Linked DNA regions of Oryctolagus cuniculus. The protein of the gene in region 4 interacts with the protein of the main gene of each other region in a biochemical or structural test. Links are inferred from orthologs where the notes say so. Each region holds a gene or a part of one and is shown on either strand. Other genes may lie near its edges. The genes, in order: ESR2, THRA, ESR1, MED1, RARA and VDR.

The links.
Region 1: the proteins of MED1 (region 4) and ESR2 form a complex in vitro, tested with the Homo sapiens proteins (2 studies listed by BioGRID). The link is inferred for Oryctolagus cuniculus from reciprocal best matches to the Homo sapiens genes MED1 and ESR2.
Region 2: the proteins of MED1 (region 4) and THRA form a complex in vitro, tested with the Homo sapiens proteins (6 studies listed by BioGRID, with this or other methods). The link is inferred for Oryctolagus cuniculus from reciprocal best matches to the Homo sapiens genes MED1 and THRA.
Region 3: the proteins of MED1 (region 4) and ESR1 form a complex in vitro, tested with the Homo sapiens proteins (6 studies listed by BioGRID). The link is inferred for Oryctolagus cuniculus from reciprocal best matches to the Homo sapiens genes MED1 and ESR1.
Region 5: the proteins of MED1 (region 4) and RARA are reported together in a solved structure, tested with the Homo sapiens proteins (2 studies listed by BioGRID, with this or other methods). The link is inferred for Oryctolagus cuniculus from reciprocal best matches to the Homo sapiens genes MED1 and RARA.
Region 6: the proteins of MED1 (region 4) and VDR form a complex in vitro, tested with the Homo sapiens proteins (5 studies listed by BioGRID). The link is inferred for Oryctolagus cuniculus from reciprocal best matches to the Homo sapiens genes MED1 and VDR.

What each region holds. Positions count from the first base shown.
Region 1 is NC_091451.1:6,167,827-6,171,984, forward strand, and holds the start of ESR2 (estrogen receptor beta), read left to right. Parts: upstream 1-1,358; 5' UTR 1,359-1,390; coding exon 1,391-1,809; intron 1,810-4,158.
Region 2 is NC_091448.1:22,366,864-22,370,988, forward strand, and holds the start of THRA (thyroid hormone receptor alpha), read right to left. Parts: upstream 2,801-4,125; 5' UTR 2,660-2,800; intron 1-2,659.
Region 3 is NC_091436.1:16,248,111-16,252,186, forward strand, and holds the start of ESR1 (estrogen receptor), read right to left. Parts: upstream 2,801-4,076; 5' UTR 2,666-2,800; exon of another isoform or gene 2,662-2,665; intron 2,400-2,661; exon of another isoform or gene 2,224-2,399; intron 1-2,223.
Region 4 is NC_091448.1:22,931,233-22,934,732, reverse strand, and holds part of MED1 (mediator of RNA polymerase II transcription subunit 1), read right to left. Parts: intron 2,748-3,500; coding exon 2,629-2,747; intron 1,573-2,628; coding exon 1,371-1,572; intron 1-1,370. UniProt on the Homo sapiens protein: Component of the Mediator complex, a coactivator involved in the regulated transcription of nearly all RNA polymerase II-dependent genes.
Region 5 is NC_091448.1:22,126,471-22,130,468, forward strand, and holds the start of RARA (retinoic acid receptor alpha), read right to left. Parts: upstream 2,801-3,998; 5' UTR 2,786-2,800; coding exon 2,569-2,785; intron 1,285-2,568; coding exon 1,136-1,284; intron 1-1,135. UniProt on the Homo sapiens protein: Receptor for retinoic acid. Retinoic acid receptors bind as heterodimers to their target response elements in response to their ligands, all-trans or 9-cis retinoic acid, and regulate gene expression in various biological processes.
Region 6 is NC_091440.1:137,504,845-137,508,344, reverse strand, and holds part of VDR (vitamin D3 receptor), read left to right. Parts: intron 1-339; 5' UTR 340-341; coding exon 342-487; intron 488-3,500.

The DNA.
Region 1 (4,158 bases), on a different chromosome or scaffold from region 4:
GGATTTCTGCTGTGTTCCTTTGGCAGTCAGGGTCCAAAGGAGGTAGACACTACATAATACCTCCAACAGGGGAAGTTTAACATAAAGAATTACTAATTATAATAGGAGATTAAGTGTAAGATATGAAGAACTCTGATATTTGGGACTGAGGAAGAGTACCCAAGGAAGGACAAACTTGGAGGGGTTCAGACCTCAATAGGGAAAGTGAGGTTCAGCCACTAGCTAGCGGTGATGCTGGCTGGGATAAGCCGGGCTGCTCTGGAGTTGCCCCTTCCAAATGCAAGTGGGCAGCTGGCAGTCCGCAGCGAGTGGCATGGGTGTGCACTGGGAGCCCAGTGACACACAGACCCTAGAGGGTGGCAAGTCTCGCTTCACTCATTATTTTGTGGTGGGCTACCCTTTGGGCTACAGCTTGAACATGTGACTGGGGAAGGTTATCAGTACACCGAGTGGGAAGGTCACAGAGGAACCTTATTCTGGACCTGTGGCTGGGCTGGTCTCACATCCTTCCCAGGGTTTAGGAATTACAGCAAGTCTCGCAGTGTGCCTCTAGCGCCCTCTACTGAAAAGGCTCAGTATTGCACGCACTTTTCCTTCCTTGAAGGAATTCCATGGTTTACCATAGACCGTACATTGAAGGATGCATTTAAAATTGAAAGACAGTAGAATGATAAGTGACACAGTTGCATTGGTCGGTCTTTCCATGTGCTGTTATTCAGTATTTTTTATTATTGGAGATTCATAGTGTATTTGAATATCTGTTAATTCTTGCACTGTTACAAATTGATCTTCTCTTCCAATAAGAGTTTTCAAATAAATTTGTCTAATCCTAGAAAAAACACTTTGTGGCAACTGCTAGATGTGAGCCAGGCACGGAGCCAGGAACTCAGTTCAACTCTCCCATGAGGGTGGCACAGACCCAACTACTTGAGCTATCATCTGCCACCTCCCAGGGTGTATCAGCAGGAAGCTGGAAATGGGAGTGGAGCTGAGACTTGAACCCAGGCACTCTGATATGGGAGGGCGGTGTCCTAACTGATGGCTTAACCGCCAAGCCAAACATCCACTACTAATCTTCTGCTTTTTTAAATACTCCTGTAGGATAAGTTCCCATCATGAAAAATTTCCTGTGGTTAACAATAACAACAAAACCAACCAAGAAATACACTAGAAGATGAGTAGTGCACACCGCTTATTCCCACCCCTCTGAGTTAATATTTTCATACACATCTTTCAGGATGTATTTGTAATCCTATTTAGATGTGAATATTTTTAAAATAAAAAAGTTTTAACACTTTTCAGCTGTTGCAACTGCAGGTGTAACTTAGCAATGTCTTTTGCTTCTCTTTCCAGCTATTTTCCCCACCCATGAGCCTTTGAGGATGTTGTAATGTCCCTCCGTGCCTCGTGTTGCAAGGAGTTTATACAGCTGCTACCTAGTCAAGACATGGATATCAAAAACTCACCATCCAGCCTTCACTCTCCTGCCTCCTACAACTGCAGTCAGTCTGTCTTACCCCTGGAGCACGGCCCCCTCTACGTCCCTTCCTCCTACGTAGAGGACCACCACGAGTACCCCACCATGACCTTCTACAGCCCTGCCATGATGAATTACAGCGTCCCCAGCGGCGCCAGTGAGGCGGACCGTGGGCCGGGGCGACAGCCCACAAGTCCAGATGTGCTGTGGCCGACTCCTGGCCACCTGTCTCCTTTAGCCATCCGTTGTCAGTCGTCACTTCTGTACCCAGAACCTCAGAAGCCTTCGTGGTGTGAAGTGCGACCGCTGGAGCACCCCTCGCCTGTGAACAGGTGAGGCCGGCCTTCGTTCTGAGCCGTATTCCGTGGGGGCTCGGCTCCCCTCCCGGTTACCGAGAAGACGGACGTGCGTTCCCAGTGTCTTCATTTATGAGGACCCTTCAGAAAGTTCGTGGAGTGTGTGTGTGGCGCTGGAGTTCACATTTTAATTCCATTGTCCCCTGAACTTTTTGAGCAACTCTCGTAATAAGTCATTCATTACTTGGAGCACCTGAAACGTGATGCACTGTTTTAGTCTTCCTTTTATTTTTTTTTTAAGATTGACTTATTTATTTGAAAGGTAGAGTTACAGAGAGGCAGAGGCAGAGAGAGAGAGAGAGAGAGTCTCTTACCCAGTGGTTTACTCCCCAGTTGGCTGCAATGGCCAGAGCTGGGCCAATCTGAAGCCAGGACTTGAACCCGTATCCATATGGGATGCTGGCTCTACGAGCAGCAGCTTTACCCACTATGCCACAGCGCTGGCCCCATGTTCTCTTCTAATATTCCAGTCCTCATTGAAAAATTGTACTTGTAGGTGAGTGTTGCAGGCACAGCTCACTATTTTGAATGCTGCTGTATTTATATTATAAAAATTATCTTCCTTTTTTCCTAAGTTTGAATACCAAATTTTTTAGTTTTAGGTTAGACTCATAGTGAAATCACAATATAGTGTTCATGAAAAATTGTTCCCAGGATAAAAATAAGTGTGGCAGTACTACAACTTAAAGGAATACTAGCCGCCTGAAACCTGTAAAGACAGGCAATTGGTACAGCTTAAAATTTTTTGAGAGGCAGAGAAAGAGAAGGAGGGATAGGCAGCATCCCTGTATCTGCTCAAATGCTCACAGTGGCAGGAACCAGGCCAGACTGAAGCCGGGAACTGGCAGCTCCATCATGGTCCGCCCTGTAGGTGGCAGTGTCCCACCTGCTGGGGCATCACTGCTGCCTCCCAGAGTGCACATCGGCAGAGAGCTGGAGTGAAGGGCCCAGGCACATCCATGTGGGTGCAGGCATCCGAATTGCTAGGCCAGACGCCCAGCCCATTATAAAGTTGGTGGGAAACCATTTAATATAGACATCATTTGAAATTTCCTGAAGTGGAAAAGAATATTTGTACTCTTTAAATGCAAGGTAAGATGGATTATTTCAGTCTAATAATACTTTCTTTTTTTTTTTTTTTAAAGATTTATTTATTTGAGAGGTAGAATTACAGAGAGAGGGAGGGAGAGACAGAGAGAATGGTCTTCCATCTCTGGTTCACTCCCCAAATGGCCGCAACAGCCAGCTGGTACTGGGCAAGTCTGAAGCCAGGAGCTTCCTCTGGGTCTCCCACGCAGGTGCAGGGCCCAAGGACTTGGGCCATCTTCTGCTGCTTTCCCAGGCCACAGCAGAGAGCTGGACAGGAAGAGGAGCAGCTGGAACTAGAACTTGTGCCCATATGGGCAGGTGGAAACTTGGCCTACAGCCAGAGCGCTGGCCTCAGTCTAATGGGCATTTTCAATGATCGTTGTACCTCTGAAGGGAAGACATTAATGAGGGGAAGAGAAGAGGGAGATGAAATTCTAAAACAGTGAAAGTTAAATGAGAACATGTTGGATATGAAAGTTCATTACTTTCTTTTCTTATTTGAAGGGCGGAGTGTAAGGGAGGGAGGGAGGGAGGGAGGGAGGGAGGGATATATATATAGAGAGAGCTTCCATCTGGTGGTTCACTCCCCAAATGACCACAGTGGCCAGGGCTGAGCCAGGTGAAAGCCAGGAGCTTCATCCGGTCTCCCAGATGGGCGGCAGGGCCCAAACACTTGGGTCATCTTCCAGTGCTTTTCCCAGCCCAATAGCAGGGAGCTGGAGGTGGTGCAGCTGGGACACAGACGGCATTTGCATGAGGTGCTGGCCTTGTAGGTGGTTTTACACGCTGCACCACAAGGCCGGCCCCACGGGAAACTTTTTAAAAGCAGTACTTTAAAAAAATAAAAAATAAAAGCAGTGCTTTTCATTCAGCCTTTAAAGGCAGAAGTATGTTGTTTTGAGCATGAATTCTGATCAAAGTTCTGATATTTGGACAAGCTAAACCAAATGAAAATTACCTTCATTGATCAAACGGTCAACCCTTTATCATACTTTCCAAACGAAATATGCCCTAGCAAAACGAGGAAGTGGCCGGGCTTGGGTCTGGTGCTGCCTGTGCTTCCCTGCTGGGCCGGTTCCGCCGTGGGGCCAGGGCCCGGCCTCTGCTTCACCCACCTGAGCTTTCCCTGGCCAGGCAGCTGCCCGCTTCCTCCCCTCTCTTCTCCTTTCTGCCCTCTCCCCACCTCCCTCTCTTTAACCAGAGTATAGTATTCGTCTCCATGTGACTTGGAGTCCA
Region 2 (4,125 bases), about 560 kb from region 4:
TGGGCTGTGCAGCGGCAGCACTAAGGAAACACAGGATGTCCTGAGCAGCCAGCTGAGCCCCCCGCCCCCCACCCCAACCTCCCGCTGACCCCAGAGGCGGGGCGGGCCGGGGCAGAGGGCCGGAGTTTGAGTATTAACAACTGGAAAAGTATGAAGACCATCCCTGCCAGTTCCCAGCTCCCAGGGAAGGGGCAGTGGCAGACAGAGACAAGGACAGGGGTGGACAGGGGAGCGCTGGGGCAAGAGGGAGTAACAGACTGGCAGGGGAACAAGGAGAGAGGGAGAATTAGACACCACGGGACACAGCAACAGAAAGAGAGACAGAGTTAGAGAGAAATTCCAAGTCAAAAATACACATCACTCACGCAGACACTCGCCAGCACTCGGCCTCCTAAGGAAAGCGTCCAAGTCTGGACAGAAAGGCCAAGGTGGGAAAAGGGGCCAGACGCACGGTGGGAGGCAGGGACTCAGTTGTCCCCAGGAAAATCATCCTCAGCAGGGCAGTGGGAGTCCCCTGTTAGCTTTCAGGGGACGGGTGAGAGCCGCTCCCTGGAAGCCAGCTCTCCCCCATACAACGCCCCCACCCCCACCCCTGCAGCCAGGACAATCCCAGCTGCTAGAAGTCACTGGACACTGCTTCAGGCCCATGACTCGGCCCTCTGAAACCCCCCTACACCCCCTGTCTTTGCTCTTGTTTCTCTTGTCCCTCCAAAAGAAAAAAAAGCGCCCACTCTCACAAAGGGCTGATGCCAGAAGGAGACAGGAGGAAGCTTGGAGGGAGGCTGTCACCGAGGCATGGAGGTGTGCCCGACTGCGCTGGCAGCAAGTGTGCACCTGGGGCTGTCTGACACACTGTCCACGTGGACCTGTGACAGCATGGCCCGAGCCTTGTGAATGTGCGGTGCACCTGAGTCCATGGGCTTGCGTGCCAACGAGTGCACCTGTGTCCGCACTGCCCACAGTCAATCAATGAACAAGTATTTACAGAGCAGCCCCTATGCTAGTCTCTGGGTGGGATCCAGAGCTGTCTAAGCGATTCTCCCAGGTCTTAAGGAGTCGGCTTCCCAGTAGGGTGATTTGACAAGCCAGAATGACCAAGAGCGAGTGCGCTATCAGGAATGCATGCTTTGTATCGTGATGCATGAAAAATCTCTTCACACACACACATTCCATTTACTCAGGAGCAGCGGTTTTGCTGTCGACAGAACCTCCGAGTTCCACTGTAAGAATCCAAGAAAATACTTGTTGCTAAGTTGTGTACACATGTGTTGATGTGTAACTGTGCTTGCATTTGACAGAGTGACAGTGACTGTCACGCCAGGGGATGATGCCTGCGTGACTGTGCTCATGCAAGCACGTGTGTGCCTGTGAGTGACAGGGTCTTTTGTAACGGTGTGGCTGTGTGCAATTGCTCCGTGTGCATGCATGCATGCCATAGTGACTTTTTCTGTGTGGGTGACAGCAACTCCCCCTCGCCCATGTGGGTGACAGCATCTCTGTGTTACCCTGCGTGTGGGCATGTGCATGGGTCCGTCTGCCTGCTGCTGGTCTCCCGTGGGTGTGTTCTGCCCCTCTGGGCTCCCACAGTGCAGCGGCAGCCTGCCTCTTTCCTTGTCCCATGTGGGTGTGTCCAGCAGCTCCTGTCCTTGAGTCCGCCTGGGTGTCCCTGGGTGTGCATGTGGCTGTTCTGTGTGGGCATATCTCTGTGTCTGTATGTCACCTTTGCTTCTCCCCTCATCTTGGACAACAGCCCCCTTCATCCCCTCCCCCTTCTGGGGCCGGAGCCAGCATGGAGGGGCAGGCTCCCATCTCACTGGCTTTCCTTCTGTTTCTATCCCCCCAACCCCCCACCCAGCCGGCAGCTCTCTCCCCGTTGCCTCCGCCATCCCCCCACCCCCAGGCCTTTCTTTCACACTGGACAAGGGAGGGCCCTAGACCGAGAAGGGGCACCAGAGACACGTTGCAAGGGGAGGGAGACAAGGGGGGGTGCACAACAGAGATCCGTTTCTCCCTCTCTTTCTCAGCCCCGCCAGCCAGCACGGGCCCCCACTGCGCCCCCAAACCCCCACTCCCCACCCCCACCCCCCCAGCCGCGTTTTTGCAATTAGGAGTGTTGCAACCAGAGAGCCATGCTTAATTGGGGAGAGGGTGAGGGGAGGAGGGACTTCTGTCTCTCTCTCCCCTTGCCGGTGCAAGCCCACCCCTCCCCACTGCACTCCCACTGCCCTCCGCAGCCGCTCGGCCTCCGAGGCTGGGGTGGGGGCTGGGGGGGGCAGGCCTCCGGAGCACCGTAAACAAACCGCGGCGCGGCGGGCGGGGGAGCTCGGGCGGCCGGCAGCGGGGCCCGGCCTGGGAACGCGCAGCAGACCGGCCGGACTGAGGCCGGGCGGGCCCTCGAGGGGGAGGCCCAGACGCCATCTCCGCCAGCGAACCCCAGGGCCCACCGACCTCCCAGCAACACCTCCCTTCCCTGGGGCGTCAGTTGCAAGCTCCCGGTCTGTGACAGGGTCACCTGGGCGCCGCGGAAGGCTGAGGCTGGCAGCGGGCACCCCCTGGGCGCCCCCAGCCCGCCCAGGAGCCGGCCGTAGGGACCCGCGGCTTTGCATAATCAATCGCGAGGCATTTGCATATTAATGCCCCCTCGCTCCCTCCTCCTTACCTCGGCGTGGCGCGCTGGACCGGGCTGGGCAGCGGCGCGGGGGTCTCAGCGCCCCGTGCCGGGGGCGTCCATGGGGGGCCGGTGGGGCCCGGGCCGCCCGCCTCCAGCGCCCGGGTGTGAGTGCGAGTGAGCGCGGGGGGGCGGGGGGCGAGTGTGGCGGCCCCGCGGCTCCTCCGGCAGAGGCGGCGGCCGCTCTGGCTCCTCCCTCCCCCGCCCCGCTCCGGCTGGGGCTCGGGCTCGGCGCGCCCGGCCGGCTCACGGCTGCTCCCTGCAGGCCGCCTCGCCGCCGCCGGCGCCCGCCCCCCGCCCCACGCCGCGCCCCGGGACCACGGCCAGCGGCCCGGCAGCCCCTCGGCCGCCTCTGCCCCCGCCCCGCTCGGACTCCGGCAAGCGGCTCCGGCGGGAGCTGTACTTGGTGACATATTTGGAAAAGCTGTCACTTAAAAAAAAAAATAGCCTTTGCCTGCCGGGAGGATTGGGGGGTTTTCGAGGTTTGCACCGTGGGCAGGAGGAGGGAGCGTGGACGAGCCACCTGCACCGCGTTAACGGGGCGGAGAGTCTGCCTGCCAAGTGCTCGGTCGAGTGGAGTTTGTTTGGGAGTTCGGGTCCCTTCTCCGCCGGTAACTCCCTGCGTGACCTTGAGGAAATCCCCGCAGCCTGCCCGGCCAGAGCTTCCTCAAGCTCCAATTGCAAGGGCTGGGCAGGTGCTCCCGCAGGTCCTTTTACTTTCAGTCACGCCGTTTTTAATCCTCTGGGGGAGCACATTCCCCCTTACCCCTCTCATTCCTAACAGCCAAACCCGATCCACTGCCTCCTCTTCCAAACGCCACCCTTCTCCACGTCGGCTCTTTTATTCACTGACACCAGCCATTTCCCCAACAGTCTGCTCTCCCTGCTGAGCCCGGGGAGGGGGCGAGATTGGCTGTACCCTCTCCACTGCCAGCCCCACAAGAGCTGTGTTTCCTCCCATGCTTGCCTCACCTAAATCCAAGGGTACCAAGGCCACTCTGAGGAGGAGGGTGGGCTACACCCAAATGGACCCCCTTCCCCAAAAGAGGGATGGTCTCCTACCAGCCCCATCCCCCTGCATGCATGCGTACGTGTGCGCATGCACACACACACACACACACACCTGCACGCATGGACATAAAACCATGCAAGTGACGCCAGAGCCCCTTTCATCTCAGGATCTCCTAGTGCCAGGCAGAGGTCTAATTACCCCAGCACCCCCTCTTGCCCCACCGGTTCCCCCCCACACCGCTGTCATTAGCCCAGTTTTACCAGCGGGGGCCACAGCCTTCCCACGGCTCCCAGGGCGGGGCCCTGTCTCTGCACTGCTCTTGGGGAGCTGTGTGTGTGTGTGTGTGTGTGTGTGTGTATTAGGGAAGCTGCTCTGCTAATGGTTTATAACTGGGCAGAGTCATTTGTTCAGTGTGAGTTCTGACCAACCGTTGATCCACATTGGG
Region 3 (4,076 bases), on a different chromosome or scaffold from region 4:
CCTCCTCCAACCTATACCCATTAACAAGCAGCAGCATTTCAACAGGTGCCATGCATAGCTAGCTGGAGTGACTGCCCTTAACTTTTCAGGTCAAGTTCCCACCCACTATGGTACACGGACTTAAAATCCTAGCACTTGTGGTGCTGACCTGGAGTTCTTAAGTTCTTATTCATGTACTCAGTCAACATTTTCTGAGTACCAGAAGTGGTGTGAAACGCCTTCCTCATATTGAATTTCAAACACTTGAAGATAAAAAGACTTTTAAGGAGTGGCTTAATCTCATTTATTCCACATGATTATATCTAGTAGCTACTGTTAGTATCCGTACTTTGCAGATGAGAAATTTGAGGTCAGAGGTGAAATAAGTTGCACACCTAGAAAGTAGTGAGAGTATGCGGCAAAATATTTTGAGGAATGAATGAATAGGGCAACCCCATTTGTCCTCCAAAATAGTCACAAACATTCAAAAAGAAAAACAAAATTTTCACTGCTTGGTAAGATCCAGAAAATCCACTGACATGCAAGGTTTCACTATATTGTGGTCCACCGAGAAGGATTCAGAAGAAATCTACTGAGACAGTGCCCAGAAAGCAAACGCACGACCAACACTATCATCGCAGCAAAAGCGAACAGTGAAGCACTTGTCTTTTAAAAGAGCACTTTATTAGACACTGTGCAGGGGTGAGGCGGGCTTCACATTCTTTCTTAGGGGATAGTGATGGAGACCCAGCCCTACTAAAGGTGGTAGAACAGAACCACAGCTCAGGTGCCATGGATGAAGCGTGTGCTGTAAGTTCTTATAAACAACATGATGGTCTCCCCAGAGCTGGTCACTCTCCGTCCTGCCTATTTTGCCTTGTATCTAATATGCAACCATGGAACCAAGCTATTCTCTATTCAAAAGAAACTAAAGCCCAACCACCTGGCCCTTTACACAGCAGCTGCTGTGACCAACAGCACTAAACGAAAACAGAAAAATACTCAGAGATGACCCATGGACAACCAAGCAAAAATGGTCAGCAGGTACCTGGTGTAACACTTACAGCACACAGGGTGTAGAGTGTTTGGGGAAAGGAATAGGATCTGGTTAGCTCTAAATCCTTAACTGGATGAGAAACAGTTCACTGAAATCAGAGAGTTGTTTAACTTTCTCTTTGCTGAAAGTGTAAAACACATGAACTTTACCCCTTTCCTTGACTGTCACAAAAAATACAAGTACTTGCAACTGAGAAAAATATCCTGCCAACAAATATAACCTTTGTGTGCTCATATCTAGAATTTTCCCTGCACATGGTATCTCTGATGCATACATATTTATTCCTAATTTCCTCGGAAATCTAACCACCTCTCCAGTATTGTATCCAACCTCTACAGTACTATATCCATACATATCCAGGCCCAGTGGGCAGTCTTCACAGGACAGTAACAAAAATCATAGCAAACATTTGCTTTTGAGAAATAGGAAGGAATTTTGTGAAACTGAAATGGGCTCTCAAACTCTAGATCTCAGACATTCTCGCTCAACTTTATCTCATCTGGCTCTCTGTACATTTTAATTCTGTTTAAATGCTTCTACCTGGAATTCCTAAATCACTTGACATGAATTTGTACATATAGAAATCACATTCAAAACCAGAGGAGTCTCCCAGCAACCTTCTGCTTACAGTTGTTCGGCAAACTTATTCTCAGAGGTGCATAAAACCGCACCTTTGAACAGGAATCAGTGTGGTGATCTAAAGTCCTGAGAGGGCCCAACCCAAATTAAGGAATTTTTTAAAATATTTTTTAATCATCTTAGTATCTACGGGCATGTCTGTGAAAAGAAAATATGATTTCCTTCTTGACCAAACATGAAATTTGCAACTTAAACTAAGGTTCCTGAAACATATGGCATTCCTCTCACCAAAACGAAAGTAGCCTGCCCTGTCTTTCGGGACTCCCACATCCTTACTTGAATAGCACACTCTATGTGGTGGGGTCATTACACACCATCCTACTCCAAAAGTCATCAGTAGTTTTCTTTTCACCTCCAAGAAAACCAAGACAGCAATATTCAACAACAACAACAACAACAACAACAACAACCCTTTCCTAAAATTTTAGGGTGATTTCAAGACAGGCTGTCTCATTCGCGTTATTGCTAGATTGTGGAGCTTTGTAGAAAACCTGACTGCCTTCAGGAAACAAGTAAAGGGTCATTCCGATTGCTTAGTTCAGACTCACATAAGTTACGGCACCAAAGATTAAGAAAACAGGTAGGGAGTTCATGCTGGTGCACCATCAGTCCAGAGATGAAGTTTCAAAATTCCGACACAGTTCAGCCATACAGTATCTCGTAGCAAGAGCTGGATCCAACAAATATAGGATATCTAGGGCAGGCAGGAAGCTAGTCAGTGCTGTACTGAGCAAAGGGTAATGGTGCTGCCCTCTGACTCAGCTGAATATTACTCCAAAAGTGAACTTCCACTGTACCAAGTTTAGAGTTCATATTTTTAACATTGCAGCAATGGTTGCCAGCAACTTTGCAAAATATTCTGGGGTGGTATGAGAAAAATGAACAGCTTTTCACATGAGAGGAAAGCTCTGGGGTTCCAGCCTGCTTGTAAACAGTAGCACATTACAGCACAAGGAAAAATATAAAGAAAGAAGAAATAGGAGTACCTACTTGAGAAGAATGTCATTCAGAGACTGTCTTCTTATGCTACAGAAAGGGGCAGGAGAAAGGAGCCTGAACCTTTCAAGCCTGTGAAAGAGCTTCTGTGCATGGAGCCTGCATTTTCAGTTTTGGTAGACGCTGCTCTGAAGCTGTTATGACCATGAAATTAGGAAATGCAGTAACTCAAAAATAAAGAACTAGCACCACCATTTGACTAGGATTGGAAAGTCTCCTTTAAAAAAAAAAAAAAATAGAGGAGGGGGTGGCCTTCCTTTCTCGAAGCCAGGCCTAACTGTAACTTTCCTAGCACTTCCGTGAAGATAGATGTTTAACAAGGGATGAGTTATGCGTTAATCTACCCCCAATTTTTTACATAATTCAGCCAACTCTTTCTTTACTCATAAATAAAGCTTGAAGTCTAGACAGACGGATCAAGTAGGGAAAAAACTAATAAAGCATTCATTCAGGACATAAATTTTGTTCACCCAAAATTGGCTACAACTGAAAGCAAGGGCGAGGCCATATCTTCTGCAGGCCTTTTCGTTACTTTCTTATTCACCCATGGGCTCCACCGCCTGCTCCGCTCCTCTCGTCACTGATTAATTAGGGTCTCGGCGATGTGCACACGTTTAGCTCCTCTGTGGCTTTTAAACTCTGCCGTATGATCCTCCCCTAAAATGCCTGGCATTTCCTGCAGTGATATAAAGTGGTGGCCTTTTTGTTTGTGTTTGTTTTGAGCATGGAGATAAGCATACTAAAGTAGAAAATGGGCTCAAAAATACTAATGAATTTTTTTAAGTACTGAAACTTTAATAGCTTATAAAGTCCACTGCGGCTTATGTAATACATTCTTTAAAAGACATTTTAAAAAATATATTAGTTTTTCTACAAGTCTTAAGAAAGACAATGTACTGGAAGTGAGAACGGTGGAGGAAAGGGGCAGAGGGAAGGTCTCTGTTGCCGTATTTTAGTGACCCAGTGCAGGTTGACAGGTGTTGAGTAAGAGACAAGTCTCAATTGGCCCAGCAAAGAGAGAAAATCGAAAGTCTCATGATTAATGCTTTCAGACATCTTGAAATAAATATTAACAGTCTTCAGTCTTTATATTTGTGAGCTGGCCCATAAAATAAGTAGAATATGCAAAAAATTTGAGATTAACTTGCTCACACTACATGGAGCAGAATATTTCACTTTAACAAAGAATATTTCAACAAGATTCACTTAAGAAATCATTCTGTATACTAATGCATTGTTGCAGGATGTTAGCTTTTTAATGTTTTGTTATGATTTCAGGTGAAAAGAATTATTTAACAAAATGTTTAACAATTTAAGTGTTTTTACAGTAAAATTTCTCTAAATTAATTAAATACCTCAGTTATTTTATTTGCCAGAATCAGTGAACTATGCCTTTCTAACAGCA
Region 4 (3,500 bases):
AAAAGAAAATGTGTTCATAAACCAGGAAACTGATTATCATGATTGACCTTAAAATACAGAGGGCCAGTGCCGTGGCTCAGTGGGTTAAAGCCCATCCCAAATGGACACCGGTTCAAGTTCCAGCTGCTCCATTTCCAAGCCACCTCTCTGCTATGGCCGGGAAAGCAGCAGAGGATGGCCCAAGTGCTTGTGATCCTGCACTCACGTGCAGAACACAGAAGCTCCTGGCTCCTGGCTTTGGATCATCCCAGCTCTGGCCATTGCAGCCATTTGGAGAGTGAACCGGTGGATGGAAGACTTTTCTCTCTGTCTCTACCTTTCTCTGTAACTCTGCCTTTCAAATAAATAAAATAAATCTTAAAAAGAGAGAGACAAACCGTGTTGGGACTGAGTTCAGATTTACAAAAACAAACAAAAAAACACATAGAATATGCCAGAATAAGGAGGAAAAAAAAAGAGGCTCCCAAATGCCAATCTACACAATGATTTCATCAGAATAATTTGTGGTTACATTGCCTTCGCTAATCTTTCCACTAGAGTCTTAATTCAGTTCGTCTTGGGGTGAAACTCATGCACCTGGAGTTTTAAAAACTCCATAGGTGATTTTCATGGGCCACCAAATTCAAAACCCACTCGAGGGGCTGGTACTATGGCACAGTATATTCAGCAGCAGCTTGAGATACCAACATCTCATTTCAGAGTCTGGGTTCAATTCCTGGCTACTCCACTTTTGATCCATCTGCCTGCTAATTCAACTAAAAAAGCAGTGGAAAATGGTCCAAGTGCTTTGCCTTCTACTATCCAAGTGGAAGACCTGGATGAAGTTCTATACTCTTGGTTTGGGTGTGGCCTAGCCGTGGCTGTTAGGGCAATTTGGTGAGCAAACCAGCAAACAGAAGATACCTTTCTGTCTCTGTTACTCTGCCTCTCAAATAATAAAAATCTCAAAAAAAGGGCCGGCGCCATGGCTCACTAGGCTAATCCTCCACCTTGCAGTGCCGGCACACCGGGTTCTAGTCCCGGTCGGGGTGCCGGATTCTGTCCCGGTTGCCCCTCTTCCAGGCCAGCTCTCTGCTGTGGCCAGGGAGTGCAGTGGAGGATGGCCCAAGTCCTTGGGCCCTGCACCCCATGGGAGACCAGGATAAGTACCTGGCTCCTGCCATCGGATCAGCGCGGTGTGCCGGCCGCGGCGGCCATTGCAGGGTGAACCAACGGCAAAAGGAAGACCTTTCTCTCTGTCTCTCTCTCTCACTGTCCACTCTGCCTGTCAAAAAAAAAAAAAAAAAAAAACTCAAAAAAAAAATTTTGAAAAACCACTGGAGTAGTCAGTTTCCATCTTTCACTAAATATATCAAAAGGAAAGGCAGTACCTTCTTTCAGAATAGTTCTTTTGACACAGCTTCCAATTAGGGTATTATAGGCAACTTGGTGTCTGATGATATTGAGGATAAGAGGAACTCGACCAGGATGCTGAAAGGTGATTTTGCTAACAAGAGTTCCCTGCAGACTTCGACCATCGGGAAGAGGGGCATCCTTGTTGAGGAAATAGCAGTGCTGCTGACCTGGAAGAGCCTGAGCAAAAAGAACATCAGTGAGTACTATTTACTTTCCCTTTGTGCTCCAACCACAAGCTGTCCCGGAAGAAACCTGCTCCTCAAAAAAAGTACAGCAAAATCTGGGGGAGCAATAAAACCCCACAGTAAATTCTTCAAGTAGTTAGTATTATAAATGCTAACCAATTACTCGTTATTCTGGAAAGATCCCTATTTAGTAAAAGCTCTATGCTACTAGGTTCATTAGCTAACGTGGCAGCAAGCATTTGGTATAGCAGTAAAGATGGTGCATGGGTGCCTGCATCCCGTATCAAAGTGTCGTGTTTGAGTCCCAGCTCCACTGCAGACTCCAGCTCTGCTAATGGCACCTTAGGCAGCAGCAGTAATGGGTCAAGTGGTTGAGTCCTTGCCACCAATGCAGGACACCCAGACTGAATTCTGGGTTCCTGGCTTCTTTCCAACTATGGCAGAGAGCTGGGGAATGAACTAGCAGATGGGAAATATGTGTCTGTCTCTCTGCCTTCTCTATGAATGAAAATATAAAAAAATTACATCAGAAATCTTTACTAAAAACATTTCTAAATGGTTAGTACAAAATCTGTATTTTTTAATAAAACACTCCATATAATGCAGAATTGCGAAACTATTATTTTTAAAAATTCTAATTCAAGCCCAAACATGATTTTAGAAACTTTCATAATTTATACATTTTCTTCTCTTTATGTAGTTGAAGGAGGTTTCCACAGAATACATTCATGGCACTTCAAAGAATTCAATAGTATGAACACTTAATACATACTTCTAAGCTTACTCAATTTCAGAATGCCATTAAGAGAATTTCATATGAAATTTCAACAAATAATTGAACATTGTTGCTTCCTGACTTGAAAACTCATGCCTTTTTTCCTCAATAGGTTTCAGAGATTTCTGTAATTTCTTGCGTAAGTGAGGAAACACAATATGATCCAACAGTCCAAAAGGAAGTTATCTGACCTCGATAATGTTATGAAGAAAATTTCTCATCTTGGGTCTAAATAAAACCTATTACATTCTAGCTTTAGTGGGCATTACTTACAGCATAAAATCGCATGTTGTGACTCAAAGGTACTGGATCAGGGTCCTTTGACAGCTCAAATTGAGTGATCAGCTCATACAGGGGTGCATAGGTTGGCTGAGTTTCAAACAATGGAATTCCTGGAAAAACAAGAACCAATATAATAATCTCATTAAGATACAAATGTTGACCGCTCAGTATTCTCTTCATGATTTTTACATTCTTTGGCCCATTTATTCAAGAAGTACTTAATAAGTGTTACCAGTAATTTTTGAGGCCTATAAAACTTTTTTTTTTAAAGATTTATTTTATTTATTTGAAAGAGTTACAGGGAGAGGTAGAGACAGAGAGGTCTTCCATTCACTGGTTCACTCCCTAGATGGCCACAATGGCCAGAGCTGTGCCAATCCGGAGCTAGGCGCCAGGAGCTTCTTCTGGGTCTCCCACGTGGGTGCAGGGGCCCAAGGACTTGGGTCATCTTCTACTGCTATCCCAGGCCATAGCAGAGAGCTGGATCAGAAGAGCAGCAGCCAGGACTAGAACTGGCACCCATATGGGATGCCGGCACTTTAGGCCAGGGCTTTAACCCACTGCCACAGCACTGGCCCTAAGGCCTATAAAACTTAAAGAGGGGTTGGTGCTGTGGCATAGTAAGCCAAGATCTACCTGCGGCACCAGCATCCCATATGGGGTGCCGGTTGGAGTCCTAGCTGCTCCTCTTCTAATCCAGCTCTCTGCTTGTGGCCTGGGAGAGCAGTGGAGGTTGGCCCAAGTTCTTGGGTCCCTTCACCTGTGTGGGAGACCCGGAAGAAGCTCCTGGCTCCGGATCACCTCAGCTCTGGCCGAGGCGACCACTTGAGAACTGAACCAGCAGATGGAAGACCTTTCTTTGT
Region 5 (3,998 bases), about 800 kb from region 4:
GGGCCAGGCCAGCGGCTGCTCCCAAGCCTTCGCCCATCACCCCCCTGAGCAGGCCAGAAAAGATGGGGCGATGAGTCACCCCTGGGAGAAGCCCGCTACTGCCTCAGCGCTACGAGGTGGGCAGGAGTCTTCCCCCAGCCTCCATCCACACACCTGACCCCTTCCCTCTAGGGAGAAGGACCTCGGGCTGCTGCTGAGTCAGGAATTGTAACCCGTGGGGCTGGCTGGGACAGAGGCGGGAATCTGGAGCCCACAGCCTGGACTCAGACACGTGAGCTGGCCAGAGACGGAGGCACTCATGCACTCACACACGCTCAGGAGCCAGGTGGCAAGACCCAGTCACCACCCGGACAGACGTGCATGAAGCACTCAGAGATGGACCCGGGCTGGTCAGAGGCCCCACACCCAGGCTCCCCAGGGACACAGATGAGGAACAAGTCAGAAACGACCTGACAGAGCAGGCAGACACACACAGTCTAGGTCCTGAGCTGTGCCCTGAACCTGTGTCCCACACCGACAGGTAGCTGATGGGCAGCCCAGAGCCCCAAGACTGTACAGCTTCCAAACCCTAATATCTAGAGAGAGAAACTGGTGTGGAGGCTCTGGTCCTAGGAAGAGGACCAGCCAGGCCCAGAGCTGCTGGGGCCTAACATGAGGACGGGAAAAATGCAGACGCTGGGGAGCCCACAGCCTCAGCACCTGTAGGGGAAGCCGAGGCAGGGTTCCGCTCCTAACTGCCGCCTGCCAGGCTGTCATGGCGAGGTGCAGGCAGGGCCGCCGGGGGCAGGCCTCCTGGGTCCCCAGCCAAGAGCCGGTCGGCAGCCAGCTCACCATGGCAACCTGGGCAGCGGTGGCAGAGCGGAGCACGCCCTGCCGGCTGGAGCATGGAGACGGGGGCGGGGGGAGCTCGGGCAGGAGGGGGCCTCTGGTTTGGGGGGAGCCCTGCTCATCTATGGGGGAGCTTCTGTTGCTGGCACCCCCTCCTCCTTCAAGGCTGCTGGCAACTTCCACACACAAGCAAGAGCAGCAGCATCAGGGACAGCCCCTGCCCTCAACCGAATTCTCCCAGGGCGTGACAGCGGGGACATCCCATTTATCTAAGCAAGACTGCCCTTCCCAGAGTCCCCAGTCTCACCTTGCAGCCCTCACAGGCGCTGACCCCATAGTGGTAGCCAGAGGATTTGTCTTGGCAGACAAAGCAGGGCTTGTAGATGCGGGGGAGGGGGGGTGGCGAGGGAGGGCTGGGCACTATCTCTTCCGAACTGCTGCTCTGGGTCTCAATGGCTGGAGAGAGAGAAAGGGAGGGGGCGGTTAGAGACCAGGCGCCATCCCTGATGCCCTGCCCCGCCCTGCTCAGGGTCTCCCTCCAGAGCCTCTCCCAGCCTCACTACTGCTGGCAGGGACGGTCTCGGGAAAGCTGGGACTCCCCAGTCAAGCTTGGGGGAAGCCTTGGGACCCCATCACGCCCGTCTACTTCCCCAGGACCCCGTCCTCAACACAGAAAGCTGAGATCATAAACCATCAGATGTGGGTGTGTGTTGTGTACTGGGCTCTGCCTGGGAGGAGGTGGTCCGGCCCTATTCTTAGGCCTTGCCTCGGGTGGCCTGGCCGGTACTCCCCCAAGTTAGGAAGGAGTTAAGGCTGGATGAGGAGGGAGGAGAGAAGACACAAGCTGGGGGCAGAGGAAATGGGGGTCAACAGGATATTCAAAGCCAGCCACTCCCTCACCCCCTCTGCTTCCGCTTGCCCCTCCCTCCACCCCCCTCTGCCAACAGCCAGGGCCCCTCCTCCACCCAAACAATCCCCAGGCCGAGGACCCAGGCAGACCCAGGCGGGTGTACAAAGAAGAATCCCGAAGGCTGGGGCACAGCAGGTGGGGGTCCCCTGAGATAGGTGGAGAGACCACCTGGGGACAGAGCCCTAGAAGCCCATCACCCTGGGTGCCCCCTGCCTCAGGGGAGGCAGCATGACAAAGGGGGGTCTGTTCCCATCAATGCTCTGTCTGTCTGGCTTCAACAGTATGTCCGGGTTACCACCCCTCCCCTCCTGTTAATTCAGCCCCCAGAGGGCAGCCAGGAGGGGTGACCTAGCCAGCAGGAGCTGTCCCCCACTGACCAAAGCCTCCCCAGTGCCTGGCTCTCTGCCATCGCCCCAGGCAGAACAGGGATGGGCTGGCAGGGGTGGGGGGTGCAGTGTGCTGGATGAGAACCGTACAGCTTCTCCTGCAGCCCTGGCCACCTCCACCTGTGCAAGGCCTAGGAAGGGTGAGGATGCGATCCTGACAGCCCAGCTCCACGCCCCAGCCCACAGCTCCTGGCTCAAACACCTCACGGCCGCGCGTCACCCCTTAGCCGCAGACACGCCCGAGACCCAGGCTAACAGCCTTGGCACCAGAGCCCACATCAGCCTGACAGCCCTGCCCTGCCCAGAGACCAGCCTGCAGCAAAGGGACAGTAGATGCTGTCCCCCACTGGTCCACAGATTCACTCCTCACTGACCTCTCCCAGAACCTCAGCTCCTCATCCCCACACCCAACCGCCCTGGTTTTCCCCCCCATCTCATTCTCACCAGGCCAGACAAGCAAATCAGACAGGCAGGGAGGCCTGAGGACAGCTGCTGGGGGGGGGGGGGTTGGGGTTGGGGGGCCTGGGTGAGGCCAGGAGGCAGAGGGGTGAGCCACAAAGAAGCCCTTTGTTGTGCTAACTTTTTCCAAGACGTAAAAACAGTAACAATAGACAATCCAGACTGGGGGGGGGGGTGTCAAGGACATGGGGGGGGCAGCCATGGCCTAGAATCCCCGCTCAGCATTCCAACAAGCAGAGGAAGAAGGCACTGGCCTCCCTTGTTAATCCACCCTTTGCCCTGGGCCCCGCCTCCTCCCAAGGCCCCACCCCAAAAATGAGCCAGACCAGCAGCAGCGGCAGGACCCAGGGGGCAGGGGGCAGGGAGCAGAGTGGAGGCCGGGAGGCGGGGCCCGGGGAGAGGCAGGGCTCTAAGGCCCGGGAAAGGCACACAGAAATTGGGAGCTAAGGCAAAGTCCAGAGGGTGTGTGCAGAACTGGAGGAAAGTGCTTTTTAAAATGATCTTTGGCAAGACGGGGGAGACAACCCACGCAGGGGCTACAGTTCGGACTCGGTGACACCTCCCACCTCCCTTCCGGCCACTGACCGCAGGCCCTTGAGGCTGCAACACCCCAGCCTGAGAATATCCCCACCTTTCTCCCAGGTAACCCAGCTCTGAGGTTTCTGGCTCTGCCCTTTGAATCCAGAGCTTGGGGCCAAGGCCTCCAGCCCGCAGCCTAGGAAGACCAGGTAAAACGACCCAAGGCAAAAGTGTGAGGGACCCCAGGCGCCCCTCAGTTTCTGCGCGAGTTAGGATACAGCAGGAACTCCTGCACTCGGGAGAGGCAGGGAGAGGCCGCCCGACCCGGCCTCTCCCCTAACCTCCCTACCCAGAGGCCCTGGCCCACAAATCCCTCTCCAGCTGCAGAAGGGCTCAGGCGGGAGAAGAACCACACCTTCTCAGCTCAAAGTTCCAGCGCCCAGCGGAGGGCTGGAAGCGGACCAGGAAGCCAGGCGTCCCCTCCCGCCGCCGCCAGGGCGCCCCTCCCCCGCACCTCCCTCCTGGCCGCCGGGCGAGCTGAGCGCTCCGGATTCCCCACGCCCCAGAGCCGTTCGTTCGCAGGCTCGCACAAGGGGCCGGTTTCCTGGAGGAGATCAGCAGGAAATCAGCCGGGCCCCCGGCCAGCGACTCCCCTTCCCAATCCAGCTGGCGCCCTCTCCTCTGCAGCTCCCTAAACAGCCCCCGGGGAGGGCTGGGGAGTGGGCTCTGGGCCCTCGGTGCTGCCCTTCCTCCTCCTGGGAAGCGGGTGGGGGTGGCTCCGGGTGTAGCCCGGCGGCGGAAGAAGGCCCCTAGCCCAGCGGCCGGCTGATAAGCATCTCCCCCTCCCCCCACTACGGGCATCCACGTGCTTCACATTCTTGGACGTCTGGGAGCGG
Region 6 (3,500 bases), on a different chromosome or scaffold from region 4:
CTGCTTCCTGAGAAGAGGTGCGGGCCACTCGGCGAAGGCTGGGTGCTCTGGCCAGGCACAGAAGCCCCCGTGTGAGATGGGGGGGGGCTCTGAGTGGGGGATGAGGCTCTTGCCTCACACAGGGCAGGGCAGAGCTGCCGGCCAGGTCAGGTCTGTCCCGAGGGCCGTCAGCACCGACACGCGTGGGCGTACTCTGGGACCTGGATGCCCGGCCCAGAGGAGCCTGAGGTGCAGTGTCCGAGTGACTGGGCGGGAGGGCGGTAGGTGAGGGCTGCACCAGGAGGGCCTCCTGCCAGCCCCGCCTGACTGCCTGATGCGGCCCTGGCCTGGTTCCTGCAGGGATGGAGGCCGTGGCAGCTAGCACTTCCCTGCCTGACCCTGGCGACTTCGACCGGAATGTGCCACGGATCTGTGGGGTGTGCGGTGACCGGGCCACCGGCTTCCACTTCAACGCCATGACCTGTGAGGGCTGCAAGGGCTTCTTCAGGTGAGGCCAACACCAGGGCTGGGGGGCAGGTTCTCCCGGGAGGGCGCCCTGGGGTGTCGTGTCACGGGAGCCGCAGGCTCCTGACCAGGGCTCGCTTCTCTCATCCTGGGCTCCGCGGGACGTCGCTCACCTGAGCTCTGCCCTCCCAGTGCCCCACGGAAGCCCCAGGCCTCACGAGCTCAGGATCCCGGTAGGGCTGGCCCCACCCTCCCACCCTGTGCTCTGCCAGCTTCTCCCCGACAGCCTGGGTCCCAGCCCGTGTGGGAGAGTGCTGCGGGGGCCAAAGGGAGACCCCAGCCTAAGACAGGCGGGGGTGCCGCTGTGACCTCTCAGTCGCGTGTGCTTGTGTCAGTGTCCCACCCACACAGCTGGCGTGAGGGCTGAGGAGGTGTCGCACGTGGGTGCCACGGTGTTTGGAACGCAGATGGCGGTAAACGTCTTCTGAGTGTGCGGGGCCAGTGCCTGGGTGGAGCTGTGCCCTGTGGGAGTCGCAGGTCTCAGCAACCAGCAGCCGCCCTCGCTCACTGCTTCCCAGGCCTGAAGGGGAGCCGTGACCTGGGCGCTGCTGTCTGGCAGCTGGCTGCGTGGGGCTCTCTGTGGCCGCTGGGTTGGTTCGCCGAGTCCATGCCTCACCCCCCCCCCCCCCCAGCCTCCTGCCCCAGATGTGTAGCTGGCTGCTTGTCGATCTGGGGAATTGGAGTCGCCAGTTCCCCAGATCCCTCCAGTGCCCCTGTGGTTGCCGCCCTCATCACGCTGCGGGGCTGGGTCCCCAGGAGACAGCTATGTGAAGACTGGGAGACGGAGGATGAGTCGTGCCCAAGGCCAGGTGTGGGAGATGGCATTGCCCGTGCGCGTGCCAGAAACCTGCGGTGTGGGTACAGGGCGGCCCCTCCCTACACACCCACAGCCACAGTCTGCAAGGCTGGGCACTGGGGCAGGAGCTGCCTCTGTCCCCTGCCCTCCGTCTGCCCAGTGTTTTCACTGTTCCTGTCCTGGGGACTGAGCCAACTGCACCTTCTCAGGAACCAGCAAGTCTGTGGTTTGGCTCAGATTTTGTTTGATCTATAAAAATAAGCAATCACACGCAGAGATAGACACACAGAGACACGTGCACAGACACATACAGACACACTCAGAGATAAACATGAACAGACACACACAGAGGCAGACACACAGGCACAGCACACACACACAGACGTGCACAGACATACAGATGCACAGCACACACACAGAGACACAGCACACACACAGACACAGCACACACACACAGCACACAGGTTTGCACACACAGCACACAGGTTTGCATACACAGACACACAGGACATACAGAGTACACACAGCACACACAGCACACACACAGCACACATGGGACACACAGCACACACGGCACACATAGCACACACAACACACACAGCACACACATACAGCACACACAGGACACACAGCACACACATACAGCTCACAGGTTTGCATACACAGACACACAGGACACACAGCATACACAGTACACACAGCACACATGGGACACACACACACACAGCACACAGGTTTGCATACACAGACACACAGGACATACAGCGTACACACAGCACACACAGCACACACACAGCACACATGGGACACACAGCACACACAGCACACATAGCACACACAACACACACACAGCACACAGACACAGCACACACATACAGCGCACAGGTTTGCATAAACAGACACACAGGACACACAGCATACACAGTACACACAGCACACATGGGACACACAGCACACACGGCACACACAGCACACACAACACACACAGCACACACATACAGCACACACAGGACACACAGCACACACACAGCACACAGGTTTGCATACACAGACACACAGCGTACACACAGCATACACAGTACACACAGCACACATAGCACACACACAGCACACATGGGATACACAGACACACAGCACACACGGCACACACAACACACAGCACACACACACAGCACACACAGACACAGCACACACAGCACACACAGAGCTGATCCTCATTGTTTGTGGACTCTGCCCCCTGCAGCACGCCTGAGGCCATTTCCGGGCAGACGAGCGGGGCAGCGACGGCCCTGCTTTCACGCTCTCATGACTGTTGCTGGCAGTGTCAGGATTCACCGCAGTCCCCCGACACCAAGACGGGAGCGGTCGGCACAGCTGAGCAGGAAACGCATGGGCCGCTGGTGATGAGCCGTGTCCCTGGAGTGGCGCTCAGTGCCCGCCAGCCCAGCTTCCGCGGCCACCATGCACCTAGAACCCCCGCGGGTCCCGCGGGTCCTCCCTGCCCCTGCCCCATGGCTGGAGGACCCTGCTGTTCCTTCTGTCAGTGGAACTCGGGTCCCGGGACGGTGGCCTTGGTGCTCTGGCGTGAGGTGGCAAGTGCATGCCGTGCAGGGGCGAGGCCCTCGGCGGTGGTTCTCGGAAACACTGCTTCCTGTTGGGCCCTGGGGCCTGGCCATTATGCTTGACCGTTAGTTCAACCATTCGAGTGGCCCGGGAGCCACTGTGGTCAGCCGGCAAGCCCAAGACTCAGTCGGGCCCCAGGGAGGAAGGAAGGGGAAAGAGACCACTGTCCCGTTGCTCTGGCCGGGGACGAGAGGCCGCTGCTGGTCAGCTCCTCCCACAGGCCCTCCGGTGGTGCATCTTCTGTCTGCTGCTCCGTGCTGCCTTCCTCCTGCCTGCACCTCGTGTGTCAGCTGTGAGTCCCCAGACCCTGTAAGGATGGGTCTTAGGGGTGCAGGGAGCACAGGGTGGCGTGGGGAGGTTGAGGATCGTGAGGGGCATCAGCAGGCTGTGTGTGGACCTCTCGCAGACTCTGGACAGGAAGGGAGGCAGAGAAGTCGGGCAGAGGTGCCCAGAGGATCAAAGTGCCAGGAGCTGAGAGGCCGCGAGGGCGTGTGCGGCTCAGGGCACGGCTGAGGAGTGGCCAGGAGGAAGCCTGTGCCAGGCCAGCAGCAGCGGGAGGGGTGAGGCGCGTCTCCCG